3 linked regions of the Caenorhabditis elegans genome follow. The protein of the gene in region 1 purifies or fractionates together with the protein of each later gene. This does not show direct contact. Each region holds a gene or a part of one and is shown on either strand. Other genes may lie near its edges.

Region 1 (6,276 bases):
TTTCTAGATTTATTGTGGGACAATGTTTGCAAAGTTGAAATTTTTCTTGTCTAAAATCTTGTAAAAATTTGAAATTTCCAAATATTTCAGATTAATTTGAATTTCTCTAAAACATCAACCCCATTAAAATGATACTTAAGGCTCAGTAACTGAAAGTTGGCAATTTCTTGACATTTTCAATTTTTGTCTCGCACCTCTGATATACATTGGTGATCATAAAAGTTCAGACTTTTCATAAACCTTGGGAATTTTGACATTGTGTTAGTGTAAACTCAAGCTGCGGTGTTCAAAATTTTCCAGTTTACCAATTCTGAGAAAGTCTGAAACGAGCACACACACACACACACACACAATGTGCTCTTAAGAATGAAGAGTAGACAGCAAGTGTGTATAAACATGCCATAGTGTATTGAAAGAACCTATAGTGCATTTGTGCTTTATGGTGGGCATGAAGTGATGTCATCTGATCCCTTGTTGGGTCAATCGTTCTCACAAAAAAAAGCTGTGGAACACATTCGTAAACAGAACGTCGATGCCCCCCGTTTCTGAATCATCAGTGACATTTTACTTCATTTCTAAACATAACATTTCCTTTTTTTTGCCTTCCGTCATTGTTTCTCATATTTTTCTATACGACGATTACTCATCAAAAGAGGACACGCTTCATGTTTTGTAACGAAATGGAAAACTATTTTTTTGTTCTTATTCGGGAAAAGTTGGATGTGAAACATTGGGAGAACACCGCGCACGGTTGAGGGGGGGGGGGGGGGGGGAAGAGGAAACCAATTTGACCACTATGTTTTGAAAAAAAAAGAATCTCAATGAGTTTTCTGGGTGATACTAATTAAATTGCGAACCCATTTAATCAGGTCCCTCTTTCTCGGCACTTTGTTCGTTTTCTTCGCAACCAATAAAACTGGACCCCGAGAGGTAACATGTTGTTGATGGTTCCTGATGATGCTCCGCTCTTCCCGCTTCTCATCTCCCCCGCATTGTGCAGTTGAAAGCAAAACTTGCAGTGTAACACCGAGAAAGCAGGGCAGCTAATTCAATGGAAACAATTCAAACTTTTTGGAGAAAAAAAATCTAAACCCTCTCGCTCAAAGATTATATTCCGGCGGAATACAGAAAAAAAAAACAAATTGTTGAATCATATAAATTCAAAAATCGAACATGTGACAATATCCAAGAATAGAAATTGATGACTAATACAATTTTCAGAAATTTTGCTTTGTTGTGATTTGAAACAAAATCATTTTCAGATATACTTTGAAGTACAAAAAGTGTTGAAAACATGAGGAATTTTCCTTTAACACTGGCACGTCATGCTCCACTTTGACAAAATACGTGTCAAATTTTTTTCTACATTTGAACATTGAATCATTTCTTAATAAAACTAGAGACCATCGATATATTGGAAAATACGGTTCCTTCATTACCAACTTACAGTTAAAAAACCTCGCTTTTCCTGATATTGATGACAAAAAGATTAATTCTAGATTCGAATATATCACTAAGTATGGCAAGAAAAGAGTTCTGAGAACATCTTTAGTCTGCAGTGCCACGACGTCTGCAATTGTTTTGCAACATTAAAATCTTACGGTTCCTTATCAAATTATCCCTTAAAAACCGAACGGCCGTTCGCTTTTCACTGACCAATTTCATAATTACAAAACATTTTTAGGCGTTTTTCTCACGTTGCGCTCTGCCGAACGCCTCATCTTCGAGGCGGGAAGGCGCGACGCGGTCCCCCAATTCAAATTTTCCAGGACACCACCACCACACTGTTTTTCCCTCCGTGTCCCGCCCTTCCGAGGACCGTCTGTCGGATGGCCGCTCTCCAGTATTCCCTCAATCCCTCATTCGGTTGGGCGGGGCCAGCCGACCAATGGCAAAGAGCGGCGCGGACGCGTCGCGTGCAGCAGTATAAATAGGCCACGAGAGGCAGAGTTGTGCACTGGTTTTTCACTAGGCACCCGCTTTCAGTTCCCAAAAAAATGTGTGACGACGAGGTTGCCGCTCTTGTGGTGGACAATGGATCCGGAATGTGCAAGGTGAGTTGATAACATTTGAATAATTCTAATTAGGGACAAAGGTTTAAAACAATATTATGCAATCTTAACTGCTCTAGAAACATTTGAATATAAGATTTAGAAATTTTGGAAAATTTTATTTTGTTAGTTTTAACTGCGCTTATTCCAACTCCATGTCTCAAATTTACTTTTCATTTGGGTTTAAAATTTCCAACAACCTAGGAATAATTCCATTGCATTGTATAAAAAGTTGTTTCCCTGCCGCATAAGGATTTTGAATTTCTATTCCTTCTCAACGTTTCGATTTGCATTGTTTCGCAAATAATTATGGCAACAGTTGTAGTAGTAGTGGGTGGTGATTCATATCGTCCGTCAACACCTGCGCGCGGTCACTCGCTCCCTCCCATTTTCAAATCTGGCGCCACGCGCCCCTTTTTCATCCCACTGGGAGAATATGTAAGGGGGGGGAAGAAAAAAGGAATCGTCGCAAGGATATGTTTTTAGTGTATGTAGAGTATTGTTGGAGAGGGGCCAACCCGACCCCGACCCGATGCGCATTTGCAATGGTGTGTGAGGAGAGGCCGTCCGTTGAGGGAACGTCCGCGACGTTTCCTTCGTACAATGGGATATATCACGACCAGCCAACAGTAGTGTAATGCACATTCCGAGAGGGCAGTGGCAATAGTTGAATAGAGATTTCGCCAGTAGATTAGCAACCCCATAAGATAGAAAGAGAGGCAAACCATTCAACAAGAACAGCGATTTTTTTCGTCGTCAAAAGCCAGTAGTTTTTTGTCTATCCACGACGGGTATCTTTATTTGCAACCACCTCACTTTGCAATCCTCATTAAGTATAATTTGGGAACGAAGAAGCGCAACGCGAACATCAATTATCCGCACCACCCTCAATAGTGCTACTTGGCTAATTTGTGGCCCTAGGAAACAAGATGTGTGTGAGTGTCTGAGAGTGTGAGATTCCGATGGTATTGGCGAACCCTTCCCGGATTTATTTATATATATGTGTCAGAAAAGAGGCTGCCGCTAATCGCTAATCTTGACAGTGTGTTGGTCAAGTGTGCCCTTGTATCCTCCTCGCATCACTGTATGCAGGGCGGCGGTTTCCCTCCATTCGGCCTCTCTTGTTGAATGACTACCACCACGCCAACAGCCGAACGGATGGGAGACGGATAGGACACAAGAAGGGACGGACGGACTGTCAAGGCCAAGAAATGCCACCTTTTGTCAATCCTCACTATATTGATTGATAGAAATGAATATGCGCAATCTAGACATGAGAGTCCGATTGAGGCCAAGTAGTAGGAGGCGAAAAGTGCGATTAGGATGAACGGGGAGAGAGTAAGTGACCGGGATAGGATTGTACAAATGCAATGGTCATCAGGGACTTTCATCATCAAAATGTCCCCCTTCCCATTCTAATTCAATTTTCCACAATTTCCATTTGAAATCAAAAAACTGACACGCTCACATCTGGTGCTCTTGGTGTGTAGACGATGACTCAATGCATTTCGAAATCTGTCTTAGTGCCCGAATGCCCCGCTTCTCAGTGCTGCTGATGGCCTCCCATTCGCCCCGTTTCCTATCTCATTATTCAACAGCGCAATTGGATTGCGAAATGGATCTGAGTGGGTAAAAAAAAACGGGGCCAGTGGCAGCAGCAGGCCCCTGCGACCAACACGGGGGTAAGCGAGCGCTGGGCACACTCTCTCACACACACACACACACACACACACACACACACACAAACACAGAGAGACATACACACATCTGTTGAGCGTTGTCGCCGCTCACCACACACCAAAGCGTTCTCGGAAAAAGTACTTCATTCGATATCAACCGTGAACTAGAGGAGTAGAGCGAGAGAGGGCATTTTGAGAATAGGGGAATGGGCCTTTTGTGTTTGCACTGCTCTCGCTCGTGCGCGGACTCACTGCGCTCTGCCAAATCTCGACCGAATTCTCGCCGCAACCTTCTCTCTTTGCAATGTAAATATAATGGACATTCTTGAAAGACCTAACGAGAGTATTCATTTCTTATCTAGGGGTCATCATGGGATATATTGAAACAAAAATTGATAATTTCAGGCCGGATTCGCCGGAGACGATGCTCCACGCGCTGTCTTCCCATCCATCGTTGGACGCCCAAGACATCAAGGTGTGATGGTCGGTATGGGACAGAAGGACTCCTACGTCGGAGACGAAGCCCAGTCCAAGAGAGGTATCCTTACCCTCAAGTACCCAATTGAGCACGGAATCGTCACCAACTGGGACGATATGGAGAAGATCTGGCATCACACCTTCTACAACGAGCTCCGTGTTGCCCCAGAAGAGCATCCAGTCCTCCTCACTGAGGCTCCACTCAATCCAAAGGCCAACAGAGAAAAGATGACCCAAATCATGTTCGAGACCTTCAACACCCCAGCCATGTACGTCGCCATCCAGGCCGTGCTCTCCCTCTACGCTTCCGGACGTACCACCGGAGTCGTCCTCGACTCTGGAGATGGTGTCACCCACACCGTCCCAATCTACGAAGGATATGCCCTCCCACACGCCATCCTCCGTCTCGATCTTGCCGGACGTGATCTTACTGACTACCTCATGAAGATCCTCACTGAGCGCGGTTACTCCTTCACCACCACCGCTGAACGCGAGATTGTCCGTGACATCAAGGAGAAGCTCTGCTATGTCGCCCTCGACTTCGAGCAAGAAATGGCCACCGCTGCCTCCTCATCTTCCCTCGAGAAGTCCTACGAACTTCCTGACGGACAGGTCATCACCGTTGGAAACGAGCGTTTCCGTTGCCCAGAGGCTCTCTTCCAGGTAAGAAAATATTTGCACCTCTAGCTAAACATAAAATTAATTCCTATTCATTTCAGCCATCCTTCTTGGGTATGGAGTCTGCCGGAATCCACGAGACTTCTTACAACTCCATCATGAAGTGCGACATTGATATCCGTAAGGACTTGTACGCCAACACCGTCCTTTCCGGAGGAACCACCATGTACCCAGGAATCGCCGATCGTATGCAGAAGGAAATCACCGCTCTTGCCCCATCGTAAGTTTAACTTAAATGGATTTCAAGAACTAATATTTACTTTCTATTTTTTCAGCACCATGAAGATCAAGATCATCGCCCCACCAGAGCGCAAGTACTCCGTCTGGATCGGAGGATCCATCCTCGCCTCCCTCTCCACCTTCCAACAGATGTGGATCTCCAAGCAAGAGTACGACGAGTCCGGCCCATCGATTGTCCACCGCAAGTGCTTCTAAATTTTTTGCCCCTTCCACCCACAACGCTCAAAAGAAGTTCGTATTATCCCGCAACCCATCCAGACCATCCTTTTACATTTTTTTTATTTTCTCTTTTTTTTTTCTTCACCCTCTCCGTGTACATTGCTAGTAATAGTTCCAACTTCTCTAGCCGACTGCATTATGCTTCCCATTCTCACCCAAATCTTCATTGGTAACTTCTCTTGTATTTGTTCAATACTATTCCGGTAGTAATCTAGGCATGTATAACTAGGTTCTCTGTGTATCTTTGGTTTGAAGTTGAGGTTTAATGCAATCACTTTTGTTGTTGTACCCTATTACTGCCGATGACCCCCATTTTCTCATTACAAAATTGACATTTTAAACCATTTTTTCTCTGAATCATGCTCATTATTTGAGCCACATTCATAATAAAGCTTTTAATAAGACAAATTGATCAAGTTTATCTAATGTAAAAAATACAAATAAAGAAAATTCAACCCGGAGGAGAGATGAAGTGAGTAGCTGTTACGGAACACAGATTATTTGCCTTGTTTGTTTCCGAAGATGTCTCCGACGCGGTCCAAAATTGAGCCAATACTGAGCGGATCATCTGGATTTGTGCAACGGACTCCTAGTAGTTGATCCTGTAATTTAGAAGGTGAGTTTTTTTAAACTAAAACAACAAATCTTAGAAAAATATGTTGTTTTTTGAGTTTAAAATAAGAATTGAACACAAAATGTACAACAAAAATTAAAAAAATTCATGGAATTCTTGATCCGCTTTTATGATTAGTGTCTCATTTTGTTTTACTCAAGTATGTTATTAAAAATATATCATACAATGTTTGAAAAAATATTTTTAACGGAAAAAAACAGGATATGGACGCAGCCTATTATTCATTTTCTACAAGTCGAAACATTGCCACATGAATATAGCATTTTTATAAAATAAATAAGGTATCTAATTAAAGTGA
Region 2 (5,021 bases), on another chromosome or scaffold:
TTAAAGGAACATATGTTATAGGCCCTCTTTCTGAAAATACGATTTTCATTTAGAAATCTAGATGAGGCTGCAATCCTTTATTGAGAGTTTGACAATTTCTGCCTTCAGTTTCAGAGTTAGCTTTGAAAACTTTTGACCTACCTGTCTTCCTATATATCTCCAGGAATGTTATATTCTACAAGTTCGCAGTCAGTCAAATCCAAAATTCTTGTGTTCCATATCTCACCAAAAGAATCTTTGCATCCCGAAAACTTTTTGCCCCTTCCCGCGCCGCGCTCTTTTCTTTTTTTTTTCATCGTCGTTTTCTGCATCATTGCTAATAATCTCGCTGGATATTCGTTTCTACGTTTTTCTCCCCATTATCATGTCAATTACACAACCGCCAATCCAAATGGCATTTGACCACCTCCCGGGGCGGTGTCGGCGTAATTTTGTCCTCAATGAGTGGTCTCGAGAATTGTATTTAGGATTTATAAATCTTCATGTTTTTTGGTTCGGCATGTTTCCTGATTTTTATGAAGATTTGAAGAGACATGGCGGGCCATTTTTACATGCTCAGATGGCCGAGTTTTCTCTAGCTTAAAAAGTTCACAAAATCATGGACCACCTAGAAGAGCATATCTTTGCACAAAACGTGGTTGCCTAAAAATTTTTCATACCCGAATTTTGCTATTGTCAAGTTTTTACTATATGTTTATTACTTTTTAACCTAAAAATCTGCAGATTCGTATTCCAAGGAGTTTCAACAATTTTTGAGCGAGTTTAAAATTTAATTTCTTTAGCGATGTTAGCATTTTGTAATGCCAATTCTCAAAATCCCGGACAAAAACCTTGTAAACTAACTGTACAACAGGGGTGTGCGGCAAATTTGCCAAATTTGCAGTTTGCCGAGCTCGGCGAATTTCAAAAATGTGGACTTGTCGAATTCGCCGCACACATTACAATTTTTTAATAAAATATATTTTTTCATTATTTTTGGCTTTTCTGCTGTACAGTTGTTTTCGTCTCAAAACCAAAAATTTTCTATTTTTCCAAATGGAACTTTTCCTAAAAGTTTTCCAATGGCCTAGATTTCTCTGAAGCAAAAATCGATTGATTTTTTACAACCTCCTACATTGAACACATCTTGCAGAACAGGTATATAAAAGAGACTAACATGTTTTTGTTCACAGCTCAACGAGCTCGTAAACGCGTTAGTATGTGGCTCTCTGGCTCAACAGAAATTGAACCCATTCGATTTGCAATTTAACTTTTTTCGCCTTCTTCACTTTAAAATTCTTCAACTGAAAATTCAGTTTTGCTCTTTCCAATTCCCATCGGGGGACAAATGTTCTCTTTTTTTTGCATTTTTGTTCCACCCCCTACTTCTCGTTTACTTTTTTCTTCTTACACCCCTAATTCCATTTCTCTCTCTGTTTTTTTGTTTTCTACTCATTTGCAGCACTAGTTTTTTTGGTTCGAGCTGAAGCTGATTGAAAGACAAGTGTATGTGCCAATGAGAGCTCGAAAATGAGCAAAATTCTTGGAAAATTTTGGAATTCAATTTATTTTTCGAGTTTTGTTTGCTTATTTACACATCTTTCCCCACGGGCATTTTGAGTGCTTTTATTCGAGAATTTTTCTTCAAATTTGGAGTTCTTCATATACTTTTTTAAAAACTTAAATTCAATAAATTTAGTCATCAAAATTTTTTTTTGAATTCATCGAAATTTTATTTTAAAAAAGCAGTTTGCACTAACCTGTAGGAAACTTGAAAGATTTTTAAAAGATTTGAAAACGGTACATGATTGAAAAAAAATATTTTTTGAACAAATTCACTGAAGTTTACATTTATCTCATTTAATCCCTAATTCTTTTTTTAATCTAAAATAGTAATTATTCTTCCAATAAAATTTCTCTCACTCTTCTGCTCGCATTTTCCGCGTCATTTTCCTTTCTGTATGTAGTAATAATAAAAACAACTAAAAATTTATATTTTTTACAGAGAAAAACAAGAAACAATCAGAGAAAAGCAAAATAAAAAGAAGACGCTGATGATTCAGTTTCAGTTTGTCAGGAATCGAAAATACGGTGAGAAATTGGAAGCGTAGAATTGTACTAATAAATTATTGAAACTTTATTCACCACTTTGTATCTACATGACCATTAAAAAAATATTTCTAGCATAGAAAACATAAGTTCTCACAGTTTGGTGTGCCAAGGTTTTGAGCTTCTACGTAGCCAAAATAGAGAAAACTAGACCACGTGCAGTTTTTCGAAAGTCGGTTTCATATAATTGTTGCAGTCATTTTTGAAAGCTAATTTCAGAACAGTTCGTGGTAGAAAATCAAACAAAAAAGCCTCGACCATGTAGTGAAACTTTCCTTAAAAAAATTGTTGAAATAGCAGCCAAATAATGGCAATTTCTGATTCCTAGGAACTTTTATTAAAAATTTCTATGAGATTTGTATTTTAAATACGTTTTTAATTACGTTTTTAAATAATTTATTTTTGAAAATTTCAAAAGCTCAAACCTGCAGCAATGTTCTAATTTTTTTAAATTTCAAACTGTTCTATTAGTTGGCAATTTACCAAAACTTGGCAAAATTTTTTGAAGTATTTATTTATGAAATTTGGTCATGTTGAGTGTATTTATACAAAGTCCTCATTTTAAATTGAAGTCAACTATAATTGTGCCAGCGGTCATTCGGAACTGTATACAATGATCACCTAAGAATCTATGTTTTTAAATTTTGAATGAGAAATGTGTCTACATAAAACCAAATTTTTCGGAGGCGAAACCTTACTGGTCGATTCTCCTTTTTTCAAGCCACCTTGCGAAATCTGCTGTTCAAATTAATTTAACTGGTATAAGAATTTTTGAGATTTTGACATTTCTATTATATTTCAAAATTTGAAAAAAAGTGTATAGTTCCTGGAAGCTATAAATCTTAATTTCATAATCCAAGTGGATTAGAACGCCTATTGATAATTCAAGGTGTGTTCTTATATCATCTGAAAATAGTTAAATTCAAAAGATGACACGTTTTTACATAATTTGCATACAGATGACTTCTTCTCTTCCTTCTTCTGTCTGCCACACCCCATCCAAATCATAATAGTTATGTCAAAGCCCCTCTCCTCCTTCAATTCTTTTCATTGTATTTAACCATTGTTTTCATTCAACACCACTTCTCCCTTTCCCCCGTAAAAATCCTATTTTCAGATGTGCTATTCAGGGTTTCCTTTTAGTCACAAATTAAGTGTCATCTTTTAAGAAGAGGGGGCTCCTTCTTAGTAAAAGAGCACCAAGAGTCCGCTCGGCACTCATTTTTCATTTTTGGTGTGAAGAAGAGAAGGGGGATGTGGGGAAGAAGCCTATCCGCAAAATTTTTGGTGTGAAGCATAATTTAGTGTTTGTTGTTTTTCGAGCCATTTCGTGTGGTCAAAATGAGTTTTGAATTTTAAATTTTTTCTTCATTCATCTTCTTATGATGATTGTTAGTTTTTAAAATTATAATCAAGAAATTTATTTTTTCATTTTGTTAAAAGTGTACCAATGTAGGAATAGCTAAAAACCATAGTGCTTTTAATTTTTCTGTTATGTTTTAATTTTTTAAAATTTTGGGCGTTCAAACATGCGGTAAAAAACCAAATTTTCAGTAACTTTGGCAATTTACCAAAAGATTATCAGAAACTTTTCAAAAGCTTACAAATTTGTATTTATGAAAAAGTTTCCACTGGCTCAAAGATTTTCTCCAGGCGCATTTTAGGATCCCCGAAAATCTGCTGTTTTTTCTAGAACATTTTTGAAATTTTTAAACAAAAAAAAATGATTTAAGCTTTTAGAATTAATTAGAACAATAAAAAATATATTACAATTTTCGTTATGGAAAAATTGAAATTCCTGATCCACATTTTTGTAGATATACCTGTTCTCGCCTATTTTCAAAATTTTTTGAATATTTTCTGTTCTCTCTGCAACATATAAAACTTTTTCCAACTTCGCTGTTAACAGAATAACATAGTTTTTTTGCCAGAATTATTCAATCCTAATTTTTTTTTTCCAGGAATTCCATTCTGTTGTCAGTGAGAGAGAACCGCGTTCAAATCAGAATGGGCTCACGCCTCTCATGTTCTTGCTCACAAGCCGAATGCTGGACGAATGATGAATCTACATTGAGGTTTGTTTTTTCTTTGAGAAATATCTATCACTACTTGTCATTCACACAGTTGGTTCGTGTTTATTATTCTAACACTCTGAAAAAAGATAGATATTATAGTTATGGTTAGAATAAACAAAAAGAGTGTGCGAAGGGGAATTGGTATTTGACAAATTGTAGATTGGATGAGGGGGACAAAAAATAGACAAGATTCTGACCGAGATGTCATTAATTTTCGTCAACTAGACACTTTGTTTCGGAAAAAAAGACAGTGGAGAAGAATAAAACCAACTTTTACATTGAAACATTCAAAATTTTAGTTTCTGCTATAAATAATAGAAAAAAGGTTTTTCAGTTAAATTATTCAAATTTAAACTTTATCAACGCAAATCTTTATTACAAAAAACTTAAATAATCTATAAAAACTGAAAAGCGACATTAATTATTCAATAAGAATTTTTATGAGGATTCATTCCATGAACCAAATGATGTACCATTTCTTCTGCATCCATTTCATCTTTAACCGTATTGATTTTCTCGTTTTGCTGATTTCGAATAATAAAATCAGAGGCGTACGCGTCGAAATATGATTTTTGTCGAATAAGTGAAAGAGTTGACTCCATTTTCGAACGATGTCTCACTGATTCGAGAATTCGAATTTTCTCATTGAGCAGCATGATCTTTGTCATTTCTCTGGAAAAATTTTGGAATTGCTGAAAAACTGTAGAAATTCAAATAAAAAACTAACGTGATAAGAGTGTAAACTGAAAATGACCACAATAAAAGGATGAAGCATTTTATATGCATCAGAGCTTCTTCGTCTTCAACTTGTTGCATTTCTTCCAATGTGTGGATTGCTGGAAATTATTGATTTTAGAG
Region 3 (4,676 bases), on another chromosome or scaffold:
GACGAACACCGATCCGTCATTTTTCATAGTTATGTCTTGTTCTTCGTGGTCATCTATCCAACTTAATTGGCATTGGCTTACTCCAATTGTTTTGGGTGTCACTTGGGAATCTAACGGATGAGACGACGTGTCATAACAGATTGTGCAATCTACATCCACGAATTCGCGCGCGTGTGCACATACATACGCACATCAATTTATTATTCGAATGGCTCATAAACTCATAAATTAACGAGTCCCTGTCGAACAACCAATTTTCAATTCATAAACGTCAAAATTTTGTGGCTACGGAGATTTTCCCGCGGAGTTTTTTTAAACGAAAAAGTCAACTCTCCTTCTCGAAACCTTCTCAATTATGCATTTGTCTTGGTGTGCATTTGACAAATGAGTTGACCCCCACAGAGAACCAGGGCGTAAAGACAACAGCCTCGCCGATTTATTACTTCTTTGCCGACGGATTTACGGCCGAGAAGAGGTGTCTTACCTCTTGAAAACTACTATTATGCTGCTGATTAAGGCTCCTGTCTATTTCATTGAACTTGGTATATCTACGAGCAGTTTATTTTATTTACAGACAAAGGGTTAAACAATTGAACACCGTATCGAAAAAGGGGGCAAAAATACATGAAAATGGGGCTGGGAGATCGAACGACTAGATGGATGCAAATAATCACACGGATTTAGATTTTTGAAACATTTGAAACTCTCAAAAGGATATTTAAATGCCAAAATAGGATGATCCAGGTTTTGGAGGTGCTGGTGGAATCAATGGAGGAGTGGCTTTAAATGTTTCAGTACTAACCAAGAATGGATCAAATGGTGGTGATAATGGACCATGTGTATCATTTGTACTCGAAGAGCAACTATGTGTGTTTGCCATCGTGAGTGGAGTTCGAGAGTGTTCTCGTGTCACATATGATCCTTTGTACTGTCGCTCACGAAGGAAATAGATGCATCCAAGAATCATAAGAAGTAGTGCGGCAAAAAGGAGAACTCCTGCGAGAAGTATGAGCATTTCACTTGTTTGCGTTAATCCATACCGTGCACCAAACAAAACGGCACAGTCGTTTACCTGAAGTTTTTAAATAGTGAAATTAATAACGTGAATGTGAATCTTACGTCGGTAATTGCCAGAACTGAATGACCTTCCACAAGCGATGGTGTCGCGCATCGGACATTATCGTAGTTGAGAATGTGTCTCATCGCATAACGATCTCGCATATGAACCTGAAAAGATGTTCGAATTAATTCAGAAATAAGAGAGGAAAAGACTCACTTGAAGTCCTTGAATAGCACATGAACAATCCCAAGGATTTCCATCTACGTACACTTGTTCAACATTATTTAGGAATGCCAAATCTGTATGCGAGAAGGTGTGGAATCGGTTGGCTGTGATGTCGAAAGTCTAAAGAAATCTCAGTGAGCAGGTTTCAAATGACATGCGTGTCCCCATATAAGGGGGTCCACAAACGCTTCGAATTTCGTATAGAAAATGGACATACTTTCACATTTGGAAGCAAAGTGTTGATATTGTCAGGCAAATAAGTCAATTCATTTCCGGAAATGTTCAATGAAATCAGGTGGTAATAGCGAGACGGCAGCTGTACCGGGATGAATTTGATGTGGTTGTAGGCCAGTTCGAGATGAATCAACGACTTCAATGTATAGGTCCATGACTCCTCGAAATCTAAAATTACAAATTAATTATGCCATCTCTAGTAACTTTGAAAAACCGTTCTTCAAATTTAAAAATCGGAAAAACTTTTAAATTAAAAACAATCTAAAAAGTTTTAAAAATCTAGTTTTGGGGTTATTTTAACTTTTGCTACAAAAACTCACTTTTCAAGAAATTTCCTGACAATGCAATCGAAGTCAGCTCTTCTTGTGCCCATCCCAACCATTTTGAGTCAAAATCATTCATATGATTGAATGACAAATCCAGATGACGTAATGGCATCGTTCGGAACGCATCCTCGTTAAACGGAGAGTCTTTCGAAATTCCGAGCAAATTGTGGGAAAGATCCAATTTTGAGATATTCGTATTGCAAAATGCACAGGCTGTGATTTCTTGAATGGAATTGTGAGACAAGTCGAGAACAGAAAGTTGAGGAAGAGATCTCAGTTCTTTAGTTGGAACCATTTTGAGATTATTTCCTCCGATTCCAAGTTGACGGAGTTGAGGAATACGATCAAGAGCCAGAGAATAAATTGATGAAAGATTGCAATGATTCAAATATAATTCATCCAATTGGGAAACATCTGTGAATAACTCATTGATGTGTTCAATTGGAATAGGATTCCGGTCTAGTCGTAGAACTCGAAGAGAATTGAGACCTCGAAGTAAATTTGTAGAAAGATCACTGATAGTATTATTGGATAGAGACAATGATCGCAGGGCTCTAAGATATGTGAATACTCCAGTTGGAAGAATATTCAAATGATTCGATGATAAATCCAATACTCGAAGTTTTGGCATACCACCAAAGTTGCTCATTGTCGCATGCTCAATATTGTTTGAGTGTAGATCTAATACTTCCAAAGATGGCAGTCGAATGGATCGGGACATTGCTGGAATCTGACAATTGATGAGACGAAGAACTCGAAGCTGTGCAAAACGGTTTATGTTGTCATTCCATCGAAGTTTGTTAGAACCAATGCGATTTGAGGGCGGCTAAAACAATTTATGTAAATGAAGGGATTAGATTGACGGACGGACGTTGTGGTTTTAGATCTTATCGTTTACTAACCTGAATATGAAGTGATCGAAGAGTCAACGGAAGTTGGTTTAGAATTTCCGCGTAAATCGTATCGTTTATGATTGCCTTTCGACAATAAACACTCCAAGACGAGTCATTTTGATCGCATTCACAAAGATTCGGACATGATGATGGTAGTGCAATAGAGCATAATACCAAAAAACTTAAAAATAAAAGCAAAATGTATGAAATCATTGTTCCAATTCGGAACAAAGAATCCTTGACTTCTCCAGAAGACAAACAACACAGCAGCTAGAAGCAGCAAACGTGAGGCAAAACACCATGAGAAGGCGAAGGGGACGGGCGGATAAAGGGGCGGGGCTTAAGGCGAAGGAGGGTCAACAGAGACACCACCCATGGGAAGAAGAAGAAGAAGGATGACCGGATAGAAGAGGAAGAAGCAATGTGTGCCTGACAGCACCACCTAATGTTGTTTTCATGTACCAGAGGGTGGCAATTATCACACCACTAAAAGAAAATCTATTCCCGCTTCAGGCGTTTTTGGCGTCGGGTGGTGGATGCTTGAGTTTTCTTGGAAGCAAGAGGGTGTTTGACTGAATATAATAGTTCTAAAAAATTTCAGAACCATCTCCAAGGACGAAGTTGAGCTTATCTATGTGAAGATCTATGTAATATCATTATCATCTGAGCTCAAGCAAAACTTTGCTCCTAAAATCTCAACGTCATGCTAAGGTTTCTGATGGAGATTGCATTCACGAACTTATCATATATTCATGAGGTTCTGTTAAATTGTGCAGCTCCACTCGCCCCCGTTCTCGATTGCACCCGGCTGTTCCCTAGATTTCTTCAATTTTCCCTTCAAAGTGATTTTACGAAAGCTCCAAATTATAGAGAATGCTCTAAAGTGATTCAAACGGGCATTGAAAAAAAACAAACGTCTTCCTGTAATAGTGGTCAAGGATGCCAGATGTGAAAGGGTGGGCATCACCAAATGTCAGCAGGCAGGCGCTTTTCGTTTACGACTTGCCCTTTTATTGGTGTACCCGTGTGTGTGTGTGTGGTAATAAAAGGTGATGGTGACTCTTTTCTCTGGATAGTGTTCATATTGACTATGGTGCGAAGATAATTGAGCAGAAGATGACGACGACAAGTGGTGGGAGAAGACAAGCATCGGAATTGTCGACGACATATGGTTCAAATTTGGTGGTAATTCATCCGTCATATCGAGTACCACAGAATACACTTGGCATCGAATAAAGGATCCTGTGGACAAATAATGAGCTGTTTTTTATCCGGTCAACCGAGGGGAATACTGTAAATTCAATTAGAGGAATACGGTACTTTACAGTAAATATCCATACCGTGTCATAAAAGCTTTACGAAGTATTTTCATGAAAAACGTTCTTATAAAATTATGCTTAATTTCGCATACTGATTCTTATCCGACGATTCGGTAAATCATAAAGACCAATGACTAATGCAAGAGACCTCTCAAACTGTATGTCAACACCCAATCAATCTCATTGCAAGATATTCCCGTCAGCATCCAAAACCCAAAGAAAGTGTCAAATTGCTCCTTCCAACACATTTTCGCTTATAAACTCATTAATCAAAATGTTCAATTTCCGTTTGAGATTGAATCTTTTCCGGGTTGTCGGCAAACTTTAACCCAATTCCACCGCATTCGTTGTCTTTCGCTCTTCCAAGCCCGCTCATCACAGACAGACCAATTAAGATGGTGTGAATCTCGGTGAGCACCCGCGTTCGGTTATCCTCGTGTGGAGTGACGAACACCACGGCTGTCACTATCGGAAGTGTGTGTTTGGGGTAATTTATCCACACACCGATTGACATGTCACACAAGCTCTCGCACTCTTTTCATTTATCACACCTGAAGAAAGTGTTGGCGTATGTGTGTGAGGATTTGCGCATTGTGTTGCGGTGCCCTTCAAATGTTTG

What was found. Proteins that work in one complex are often made in the same cells at the same time.
Region 2: the proteins of act-4 (region 1) and tiam-1 purify together in Caenorhabditis elegans (affinity purification with western blotting, with the first as the bait; one study listed by BioGRID). This does not show direct contact.
Region 3: the proteins of act-4 (region 1) and dma-1 purify together in Caenorhabditis elegans (affinity purification with western blotting, with the first as the bait; one study listed by BioGRID). This does not show direct contact.

Annotation. Positions count from the first base shown.
Region 1 is NC_003284.9:4,958,665-4,964,940, forward strand, and holds act-4 (Actin-4), read left to right. Parts: upstream 1-1,956; 5' UTR 1,957-1,997; coding exon 1,998-2,054; intron 2,055-4,135; coding exon 4,136-4,870; intron 4,871-4,926; coding exon 4,927-5,105; intron 5,106-5,160; coding exon 5,161-5,320; 3' UTR 5,321-5,749; downstream 5,750-6,276. Other genes in the region: M03F4.6 (EB domain-containing protein), read right to left, coding at 5,842-5,946. UniProt on the Caenorhabditis elegans protein: Actins are highly conserved proteins that are involved in various types of cell motility and are ubiquitously expressed in all eukaryotic cells.
Region 2 is NC_003279.8:4,407,707-4,412,727, forward strand, and holds the start of tiam-1 (DH domain-containing protein), read left to right. Parts: upstream 1-1,982; 5' UTR 1,983-2,070; intron 2,071-3,164; exon of another isoform or gene 3,165-3,354; intron 3,355-4,049; 5' UTR 4,050-4,095; coding exon 4,096-4,163; intron 4,164-4,309; exon of another isoform or gene 4,310-4,395; intron 4,396-4,518; exon of another isoform or gene 4,519-4,588; coding exon of another isoform or gene 4,589-4,835; intron 4,836-4,890; coding exon of another isoform or gene 4,891-4,999; intron 5,000-5,021. Other genes in the region: T21E12.5 (Guided entry of tail-anchored proteins factor 1), read right to left, coding at 4,589-4,835, 4,891-4,999.
Region 3 is NC_003279.8:8,280,341-8,285,016, reverse strand, and holds dma-1 (LRRCT domain-containing protein), read right to left. Parts: upstream 3,049-4,676; 5' UTR 2,952-3,048; coding exon 2,748-2,951; intron 2,672-2,747; coding exon 1,840-2,671; intron 1,688-1,839; coding exon 1,503-1,687; intron 1,406-1,502; coding exon 1,277-1,405; intron 1,228-1,276; coding exon 1,120-1,227; intron 1,073-1,119; coding exon 719-1,072; 3' UTR 540-718; downstream 1-539.